Linked DNA regions of Arabidopsis thaliana. The protein of the gene in region 1 purifies or fractionates together with the protein of each later gene. This does not show direct contact. Each region holds a gene or a part of one and is shown on either strand. Other genes may lie near its edges. The genes, in order: DJ1B and AT3G20390.

Region 1 (5,175 bases):
CCTTTCAAAATTAAAAAGAAAATATCAAAAGAAGATAGAGGAGTACAAACCAATTTTTTAGGGTTAAATTTTGTATTATAAATTATCGGACTCAAAATGTTCATCAATACAAAGCAATATATCATCAATGCAAATCTTTACTTTGCATCATTTTCAACATGCAAATCTCATCTTCACTTGAAAACCTTCCTTTGGTTCTTCTCCTTCATGTCTTTGTATGCAATATGGGACATTATACACATATTTTTTCATCGATTGAGTAATCTATTTTAAAAATATTTGAATCACATTATATGCATAAAAAATCTAATATTTTATTAACTATAAGTATTTTATAGAAATTTAAAATAAATTAAATAAATAAAGTCAAATAAAAGTGAAAGAAGAATCATATATTTATGTTTAAATTAGATAGATAGGTTTTAAAAAATTAGCAATTAATAAAAAAGGCAATGTTTGTGGAGTGCTAAATCTTTTATTTTGATATTTTTTGATATTTTTATATTTTAATAAAAAAGGCAATGTTTGTGGAGTGCCATTGTAAATAAGTTGAAAGGCTAAAGTTTTTTTTATCTCAAATATCTCCAAAATTAATTATATCATTTTAAAATATATTAAATAAACTATTTATAAAAAATTATAAGATTTAGAAATTAGTTCTAAAATTAAACATTTCATTAATAAAGTGGGATTATTTGGAAATATAATAAATAAAACTATAATAAAGTAGGATCATGTGGAAATATAATAAATAAAACGTAAACATATTATTAATGACATTAAATAACATAAGATTTACCAGTGCATGATTCTTACCTATATATATATATATATACAAAGTTTGTAGTGAACATATATATAATTATTTATACAAGAAAAAATGAGTCTTAAAAAATGTGTTGTATTGATGGTGGTGGTGTTGGTAGTTATGGTTGCTATGGTAGAAGAAGTAGAAGGGCTTTCATATGCTACATGCATGGACCTTTGCGAGACCAAGTGTAACTTTTTTTTTACACATCCAGAAAAATACTGTAAAGATAAATGTGACCGCAAATGTCGTAGACTTCAGTCAGCTCAATCATCCCAGTAATAATCTCTTCACTTGTTTTATTTAGTTTGATTAAAAAAATATTTTGTATAAAGAAATTGACATGATTTATATAAAAAAATTGCAGGATGGAGACTATAGAAATGAGAAACATAAATGGGTAGATAAGTTGACAAAATAGTCGAGATATTTGTAAGATTGATGAAGTTTTCATATCAATAAAAATATTTTTTAAATTATAAAACTTTTTTTTATACCAATTATAAAAGAAGCAAAGATTAAAAGAAGATAGAAGAGTGAAAACCAACATTTTTGGTTTACTTTTGTAGTATTATAAATTATCGGACTCAAAATGTTCATCAATACAAAGCAACATCTCATCAATGCAAATCTGCACTTTGCATAATTTTCAACATGCAAATCTCATCTACTCCACTCGGAAACCTTCCTTAATTGGGTTCACAACTTCATAAGTTCACATCATAGATCTGTGTTATTGGGCTGTTTTATGGCTTGTAAAAGTTGGACTAGACCCACTAATCATTATAGCCTGGACTAGGCATGTATTTTCTTTTCTTTCTCCTACAATATTATCTCTCATCAATACATCAAAACCACAACAAGTTTATGAACAAAACTCTGAACCGGGAAGTTGTTTTCTGATAAACCAAACTACACGCCGTCTTGAGTTGATTGATGACGTGTTAAAAGATTAATGGCTGATTGTCATTTTCCATCCAATCACATTAAAACACGTCAGGATAAAGCCCGTTTCATCACTGCTTCTCTTTCATCAAAAGTTCTTTAAGGAAAAAAAAAAACGTCAATGGCGTCGTCGTCGTTGTGTCATCGCTATTTTAACAAAATCACTGTCACTCCCTTTTTTAACACTAAAAAACTCCATCACTATTCTCCGAGACGAATCTCTCTTCGTGTAAATCGACGATCCTTCTCTATCTCTGCAACTATGTCTTCATCTACTAAGAAGGTACATCGTTCTCATCGATTTCGTTCTTATCCCTATCGATCCTGTAAATTTCTCTTGATAAATCTGAGTTTTCTTTAGGTTTTGATTCCTGTTGCTCATGGTACGGAGCCGTTTGAAGCGGTGGTTATGATCGATGTGCTACGGCGAGGCGGAGCGGATGTTACGGTGGCTTCCGTTGAGAATCAGGTCGGCGTTGATGCTTGCCATGGAATCAAAATGGTCGCTGATACTCTTCTCTCTGATATCACCGACTCGGTTTTCGACCTTATTATGCTCCCTGTACGTCTCTCTCTGCCAATCTGAATCCATTTGGTATCGAAATAGTTTCTCAATTAGATGTATTGATTTCATATTTGTTTTGGTGATGTGATTGGTTAAGGGAGGACTTCCTGGTGGTGAGACTCTTAAGAATTGTAAACCTTTAGAGAAGATGGTGAAGAAGCAAGACACTGATGGACGACTTAACGCTGCTATCTGTTGTGCGCCGGCGTTGGCGTTTGGTACTTGGGGACTACTAGAGGGTAAAAAAGTATGTGTGTAGTGAGTGATCAGTATCCAAGAAGTTTTCTTTTCTTTTGAGTTTGTATTTTGGTGTATAAATCACATACGTTGCTTGCAGGCTACATGTTACCCGGTTTTTATGGAGAAACTAGCGGCTTGTGCGACAGCTGTTGAGTCAAGAGTGGAAATTGATGGGAAGATAGTGACCAGTAGAGGGCCTGGAACTACCATGGAATTCTCTGTCACGCTTGTGGAGCAACTTCTTGGGAAAGAGAAAGCTGTTGAAGTCTCTGGCCCCTTGGTATGTCTTATCCCTGACTCTTCTATCAACCTTAATTTGGTCTCCAAATAATCGACAGATCTTAGAGGCCAGTTTCTGTTGAGAAGATGGCTCTCCGCAAAGAAGGATATATTTAGTAGCTGATTCGAGGGGAGCACTTATTTGATTTAACACTCTTTAAAGCACCCTAGTATTGTTAGTTCATGTAAAAAAATACAAATACGTGTTTTCGACCTCACTAATACTGTGATTTCCTTGAAGCCTAGGCCTGTGGCTGAATTTTTCAGCATTATTTCCCCTGTCCACTGATCAGTGACTGTTCTTGTGAGATTACAGACAGTTGAAAGCTATATAGGACACTGAAAAATTTAGGTTTCCACAAAGAAACAACCATTCCTTGGTAGCATAGGCTTTATTCCATGGTAACCTCTTAGTCTCTATTCTTCCCCTTTGCATATCAGGTGATGCGTCCCAACCCTGGTGATGAGTATACTATTACTGAGCTTAACCAAGTCAGCTGGTCATTCGAGGGTACCCCACAGGTAGCTTTCAATTGCCTGTCTGGCAAAATGAAAAGAAAAAAAAGACTGGCAAAACTTTTCACACTTGCTTTACTGAGCTCATGCGTCTTTCTTAATCAATCTTCCGTACACTGAGAGATCATGTTTTTCCTTTTCAGATTCTTGTACCCATTGCAGATGGCTCGGAGGAAATGGAAGCTGTTGCTATCATTGATGTCCTGAAGCGGGCAAAAGCAAATGTTGTCGTAGCTGCGCTTGGTAACAGTTTGGAAGTGGTAGCATCTCGGAAAGTCAAGCTGGTGGCAGATGTGCTTCTCGACGAGGCTGAAAAGAATTCGTACGATCTGATTGTGTTGCCTGTGAGTGCTAACTTCTTCAAATTACTAAAGTTTATAGTGTCAAGCAAGTTGAGGCCAACATGATGAACTTCTCTTTTTATTATCAGGGTGGTCTCGGCGGTGCTGAAGCATTTGCAAGTTCGGAGAAGCTAGTGAATATGTTAAAGAAGCAGGCGGAATCAAACAAACCATATGGAGCAATTTGTGCCTCTCCTGCTCTGGTGTTTGAGCCACATGGTTTACTCAAGGTACGAGAGTAATCACAATAGCACACACATTTGCTTAGATGTGTAGGATCATTACTATATATCCGATGGCATGGAGTATTCTGTTATCAAACCGTTATTTTTGCACTTAAAACTAAGGGAAGGGTCACAATTTTTAATGGATTTTTTTACAGGGTAAGAAGGCAACAGCGTTTCCAGCAATGTGCAGCAAACTGACGGACCAGAGTCACATCGAGCATCGAGTCTTGGTGGACGGCAATCTCATAACGAGCAGGGGTCCAGGAACCTCATTGGAGTTTGCACTTGCAATTGTAGAGAAGTTTTACGGGCGCGAGAAAGGACTTCAGCTCTCAAAGGCAACACTTGTGTAAACTCATGAGTATCTTAGGTAAGAGTGACTTTAATAAGAAAAAGGCTTTAGTATCAAACGATCAATGAGTGTACCGTTGTTGTGGTGAGCTTTGTACTAAGTGTGATGCTTAAAACTGTCTTATAAATAAACGAGTTTACTCTGTTTTTATCAGAAAGTTTTTTTGTTACTTTACATTGCGAATTTTAGAATATAAGAAAGTGCTGAACAAAAAGAAAGAATATGAGAAAGTAAAATTTCTTATAAAATTACAAAACAAATTGAATTATATCTGCAGATCATTGTTATTAACCTAGCTTCTTGTTCTGTAACATCTGTACCATAAGATGAAGAATCCAAGGACTCTGTACCCGACGATGAAACTTGCCATGATACCAAGATTGCTCCATTTCTGAGACTCTTTGAGGTCTTGTTGTTTTAAGAACACGTCTCCTCGATACTCGTTGATCATCAGGCATTCGAATGGATACTTGAAGAGGCTGAGATAATGCATGAACTCCCAGTAAACGGGGATCCTGTCCTTTGCAATGAAATACCCGGAGAAGAGGAAGAAAGATCCCATGAGACCTGAGATTACTGATGTCCCCATTATGAAGTTTGGGACAAGAGCACTGAAACATGCGACAAAAGAGTTTGACATCAGAAGAACAATCCATATCACCAATGAGAAGTAGAGGAAGCCGTCTAGCTCTCTTCTGAGACCGACCAGCCAATAAACCGGCGTAGCAAAGAGCATGCTTATGATCAACAAGAAGGGAATGAATATGAGAGTATCTGCTAAAACGTAAGACAAAACTCTGTAAGCCCTTCTCGATGTCTCTCTCATTAGGATTCTCCTGTCTTGCAAGAAAATTGGAAGTCCCTCTGTTGTGGAAGATAGCAGGAAAGTGAGGATAAAGGCG
Region 2 (4,842 bases), on another chromosome or scaffold:
TTCTTCTGTGGGCGCAAGTTCATGCATGCGCCAATAGAGTCGCCAATGCAATGTAGATTAGAGGTATGGGTAGTTCAGCTTCTTAAATGCAACTCCTCCTCCTTTCTCTCTTTTTTCCTTTATAAATTGCTCTTTTCTCACACTCCACACCACTCTCCAATTCAAGCTCTCACCCCATAAATAGACAAATTCAAAATATCTTATAAGAGAAAGAAAAAAAATCAATTAGTCTTCCATCTTTTCTTCATGGGCATTTCTAAGATGATTCTTCTGAAATTCACATATGTTGTTTCTTTCTGGATTACTTGCGTGATCTTCAAAATGTCAAGAACGATAAAACGAGCTTTGTTGGGCTCATTCATCTTCATTCTTGCTTCCGGTAAATTTACAAGTTATCTTCATTTTCTTATCATTTAATGCTGTTTGTTCCCCTTTTTTTTTTTGAATTCTATAGATGCTTGCTAAACTAACGTACTTTTAAAGATGAAACTTGAGACGCCATCTCATTGGTTTTGGATATATGTACTTCATTGACATGTACTTACCTCTCATATATGAATCCACACATATGTATACTATATATAGTTGACAACTTGACATGAGTGTTTGATAAAAGAACTAAAACATATTAACAAAAAGATAAAGAGAAAATTCTTGAATGGATGCGATGTGTCAAGCAACTTCTACTTACCATAAGAGTCTGATGTGGGATCTTCTTTTCCATTTTCTTAGTTTTTTCCTTTAACCTGAATTACTTGTTGTCTATGCATTCCTTAATTGAATTTAATAACTTATCTTATGTATGGATTCTCTACCCTTAAATTCTCATTCTTTAAGAAAAGTATATCTTTTTGTCAACAATATCTTCATCCAAATTCTTAGAAAAATATACTTTCTTTTTGGTATGTATCATTTTAACATATCACATTGCATTGTTTTCATTCCACATTCCATGTTAAACAATTTTATAAGATCACGAAATGTCATTAATTTTGAATGTAGCTAGTGTTGTGGTAGCCGCCATTGTAGGAGCCATCGAAGGTCACACCACTGACATCGGATTTCTTCAAGGTAGTGTGCTTGGAGTGGTGGCTGGAGTTATCACTGCGGTCCAACTCTTTGGACCGGTGCTACATAGTGATCAACCTTTGTCTAAGGTGATTGTGACTCTACATATAACCCTAGAATCTAAAAAATAAATCACTAAACAACCATATGTTTCTAGTTAAATAGTGGGAGTGGTCCTGTAATTAAGAAAGCTAGCTAAAAATGAATGGTATTCTAGTAACTAGTTATCTGAATAAAAGATGATGTTATGGTAACAATAGTTTGGTGACAAAAATATGAAAAGAGTGGCAGGTGGCTTTACTCAGGAGAGTAGTGAATGGGAAAGCCATTATGGGATTGGTTAGACCTTTTGTTCTCAAAGCATATCAATGGCAAGTAAGTACTCTCCATTCTTTTTGTTCTTCTGACTTTTTTTCAACTACGTCTTTTTATTTGACAAGAACACGATATTTTCTAACGTAAAATCAGAACCATAACAAAAAGCGTTAAACTAAGTATATTTTACAAAATTTTAACTCCGGTAATATTATAATACAAAATGCAGATAATAGCATTGGATACAAGTTACATGGAGAGTTCAAACTTATACGATTTCAATCATGAAAAAAAGGGACTATCGAAGAGCTCTATTCAGAACATCCCGATGTTCTACAACCGTTCAGAACATCAAACAAAATCGAGTTGCTCGATTTGCTTACAGGTGATAAAAATGTAATTAATTAGAATCATCTAGGAATCAGATTTTAATATATGATAATAATGACTTAAATCATATATATTTCTAATGTTCATTTTTGGGGTGTGTAGGATTGGGAAGAAGGGGAAGTAGGAAGAAAGCTAGCAAGATGTGGCCACACATTTCATATGAATTGCATAGATGAGTGGTTGCTTAGACAAGAAACTTGCCCCATTTGTAGAGACCATCTTTCACATAACACAACTTCTACATAACAATATGTTGTGGATAAACTTCACAAAGCTATGGACCGACATGACCCAACGGGTCCAAATTTTTAAAATTTGCAATCCAACTAAACTACACAAAAATAAAAATTAAATTCTCAGTAATATATGTACCTAACTAAGGGTAAAGTGGGAAATACAAAAAAACATTTCGAAGAGAAGGAAGAAGACAAAAGAAGAAGCACGAGAATCATCTGCTTAAAATCCAATCGCATCGACTCAGTCTTCTTCTTCTTCTTCACCTACCTTTCTCTCTCTCTCTCGTGGTCCATTCGCTATTCTATACTTCTTGTCGGCGCCGGAGAGAGTGAGATGACTTGGTCGGTTTTCAGATCCATAAATACTCCAACACTCGACCTCTCCACCGCACTTCGCTCCACTCGTACCCCATTGGTCGCTGCTGGTGTCGGCTGCGCAACATTCGCTGGTGTTTCTCTCTTCAGAATGTCTTCTAGATCTCCTCCTTTCGCTTCCCTCTCTGTCTCTGCTTCTTCTGGTGACGATTTTACTCAATTTTCTCCAATTTGGACCGATATTAGTACTTTCTAAAGATGCGATTTTTATGAATGTCAGTGTCAAAAAGTTGAAATTGATTTCAGTTATCATCAATGCATATGTTTGTTAGTATTGGGTTTTAGTTTCTTTCATCTTCCGTATTGAATGATCAAGGGTTTGAGAATAGGGTTTTTACTAAAGAAATGTGATGTTGTGTGTGGTGTGCAGTGAAGAAGGAAGTTGTGTCTACTGAGAAAGCACCAGCTGCTTTGGGACCTTACTCTCAGGCCATTAAAGCCAATAATCTGGTTTTTCTTTCAGGTGTTCTTGGACTTATACCTGAGGTCCGTATATATAAGATATGAAACTGTGTAATCACCATGTTGTTTCTCTTTTCTGTGTTCTAAGATTACAAGATTTGCTCTTTTTGTTTTGTGTATATAGACTGGAAAGTTTGTTTCGGAGAGCGTCGAAGATCAGACTGAGCAGGTTAGCTTTCAAACTGTCACCGTAGTCTCTATAAAAATTGGTTTTGTTTAGAGTACTTTCCACTTGCTTCTCTGTTTTGGTGGATGATTATCCACAGAAAAGGAGGTCTAGCCTCTAGGTCGTCATGATGTTGTTTGTTGGTGAAAATGTAGTGAGGGATGACAACTTAATGTGCCTTATTCTAGCTGAGTTTATTGGGATATAAACTTTCATGATACAAAACTAAGCCTTTGAAACTTTTGGGTTTTGCTTTAAAATTCTTGATTTGGTTGGTATTAGTCTTCAAATTAACTTGTTCCAGTGTAGTTGTAGCAAGGTTGAGTTGCTCTGTTTTTCCTTCCTGATTTTATCTACTTGCTTCTATTATCTTATGGAATATCAAAGGTACTCAAAAACATGGGGGAGATATTGAAAGCTAGTGGTGCTGATTATTCCTCGGTGGTGAAGACAACAATCATGTAAGGGATCTTGTTTTTTTCAACAGTACCATTGTCCATTTGAATTCTGAATCTAAATAGAAAGAAAAACAATCTCTTCTGGTTTTCTCTCAAAGGTTGGCTGATTTGGCTGACTTCAAGACAGTGAACGAGATATATGCCAAATGTGAGTTCTTTAACAAGATTGTTTGTGTTCCTACTTTGTTTGAGATGCATAATTATTAGTGGAGTCGTTAAGGGCATGAAACATTTGTCTCTGTTGCAGACTTCCCAGCTCCTTCTCCAGCACGATCGACGTATCAAGTTGCAGCTTTGCCTCTAAACGCCAAGATCGAGATTGAATGTATTGCAACACTCTAGAACACTCAAATCAATCTCTACGAAGGGTATTTTGGTCCGGAAGATGTCAAAACAAATAAGAGAAACAATGGTTTTTGGGGCTTAACCCATATTTAACCTACTTTTCATTTTGCTGCACTACGAAAAATGTTGCGGATTATCAACCATTAGGTTGGTTACAAATCAAAAGCCTCTAATCAAGAATAAGTTATTTAGTGTCTTGTCCACCCTCATTTGCTGTTGACGTATATGTATTGATTGTATACATTATTTTATTTGAGTGAAAACCATTATGCTTGAAGAGACAAGAGTTAATAACTTAATATGGTCGTTAGAAGAGGAATGATAATTTAATATTGCTAGAGAAAGAAAATATATGTAAAAAAAAATGCAAACACAAATTACCCTTTATTATTATTAGGTGGTTTGGTAACAAAGGAAAAACATGGAGCTTCAAGTTCCTATAGTTTGAGAAATCTAACTAGGGTACCACTTGGTTGAGGAAATGCCCTCGAGTTGAACTTCAACCTTCAACATATCATTCACAACAAAACCCTTTGATGAATCTCTGAGATCAGCTAGAGGGATAATCTGAAAGTCGCCCGAGTAATAAAACCAAGAAGTGTACCAATTACTAACTGCGAAAAAAGAAAGTAAAATCCCATTAGTCAATGGCGATGAGATGTTATATATCCATTTTCTTACGTACCTTGTATTTCGACGTTATTGAGTTTGCGTTGGTTAAGAACTCGAAGCTTGGCTCGAACATAAATCATCTCAAAGGGTTTGAATTTATCGTTAATGTTAAGATACAGCGACATGGCTTTTCCCTTTGAAAGATTACGACCATTCGGAAACACTTGTAAATACCTGATCATCATATAAAACAATAATTGTTAATTACTACCACTATACTCTTATAGCGCAAAGTTTTTACTTCTGTAATGATGTGGTACTCACATGCTTCTTCCTCCAATGGAGAACACATCGGATTGGTAACTTTCTTTGAGCAGCGTCGAGAATCTCAGGAGTGCATAAGTGAATATTGGGT

Evidence for each region.
Region 2: the proteins of DJ1B (region 1) and AT3G20390 fractionate together in Arabidopsis thaliana (co-fractionation; one large-scale study listed by BioGRID). This does not show direct contact.

Annotation. Positions count from the first base shown.
Region 1 is NC_003070.9:19,864,041-19,869,215, reverse strand, and holds DJ1B (Class I glutamine amidotransferase-like superfamily protein), read left to right. Parts: upstream 1-1,826; 5' UTR 1,827-1,874; coding exon 1,875-2,036; intron 2,037-2,114; coding exon 2,115-2,315; intron 2,316-2,415; coding exon 2,416-2,565; intron 2,566-2,655; coding exon 2,656-2,838; intron 2,839-3,278; coding exon 3,279-3,359; intron 3,360-3,496; coding exon 3,497-3,697; intron 3,698-3,783; coding exon 3,784-3,924; coding exon of another isoform or gene 3,925-3,936; exon of another isoform or gene 3,937-4,076; coding exon 4,077-4,274; 3' UTR 4,275-4,446; downstream 4,447-5,175. Other genes in the region: AT1G53282 (Plant thionin family protein), read left to right, coding at 881-1,086, 1,176-1,212; ABCG10 (ABC-2 type transporter family protein), read right to left, coding at 4,566-5,175. UniProt on the Arabidopsis thaliana protein: May be involved in oxidative stress response.
Region 2 is NC_003074.8:7,109,197-7,114,038, reverse strand, and holds AT3G20390 (endoribonuclease L-PSP family protein), read left to right. Parts: upstream 1-2,109; 5' UTR 2,110-2,139; coding exon 2,140-2,527; intron 2,528-2,754; coding exon 2,755-2,870; intron 2,871-2,970; coding exon 2,971-3,015; intron 3,016-3,399; coding exon 3,400-3,473; intron 3,474-3,568; coding exon 3,569-3,618; intron 3,619-3,717; coding exon 3,718-3,812; 3' UTR 3,813-4,153; downstream 4,154-4,842. Other genes in the region: AT3G20395 (RING/U-box superfamily protein), read left to right, coding at 247-379, 1,003-1,157, 1,360-1,443, 1,613-1,768, 1,876-2,019; AT3G20380 (TRAF-like family protein), read right to left, coding at 4,269-4,429, 4,501-4,661, 4,752-4,842. UniProt on the Arabidopsis thaliana protein: Hydrolyzes the Ser-derived enamine/imine product of Thr dehydratase, protecting the plastidial branched-chain aminotransferase BCAT3 (AC Q9M401) from inactivation. Involved in Ile biosynthesis.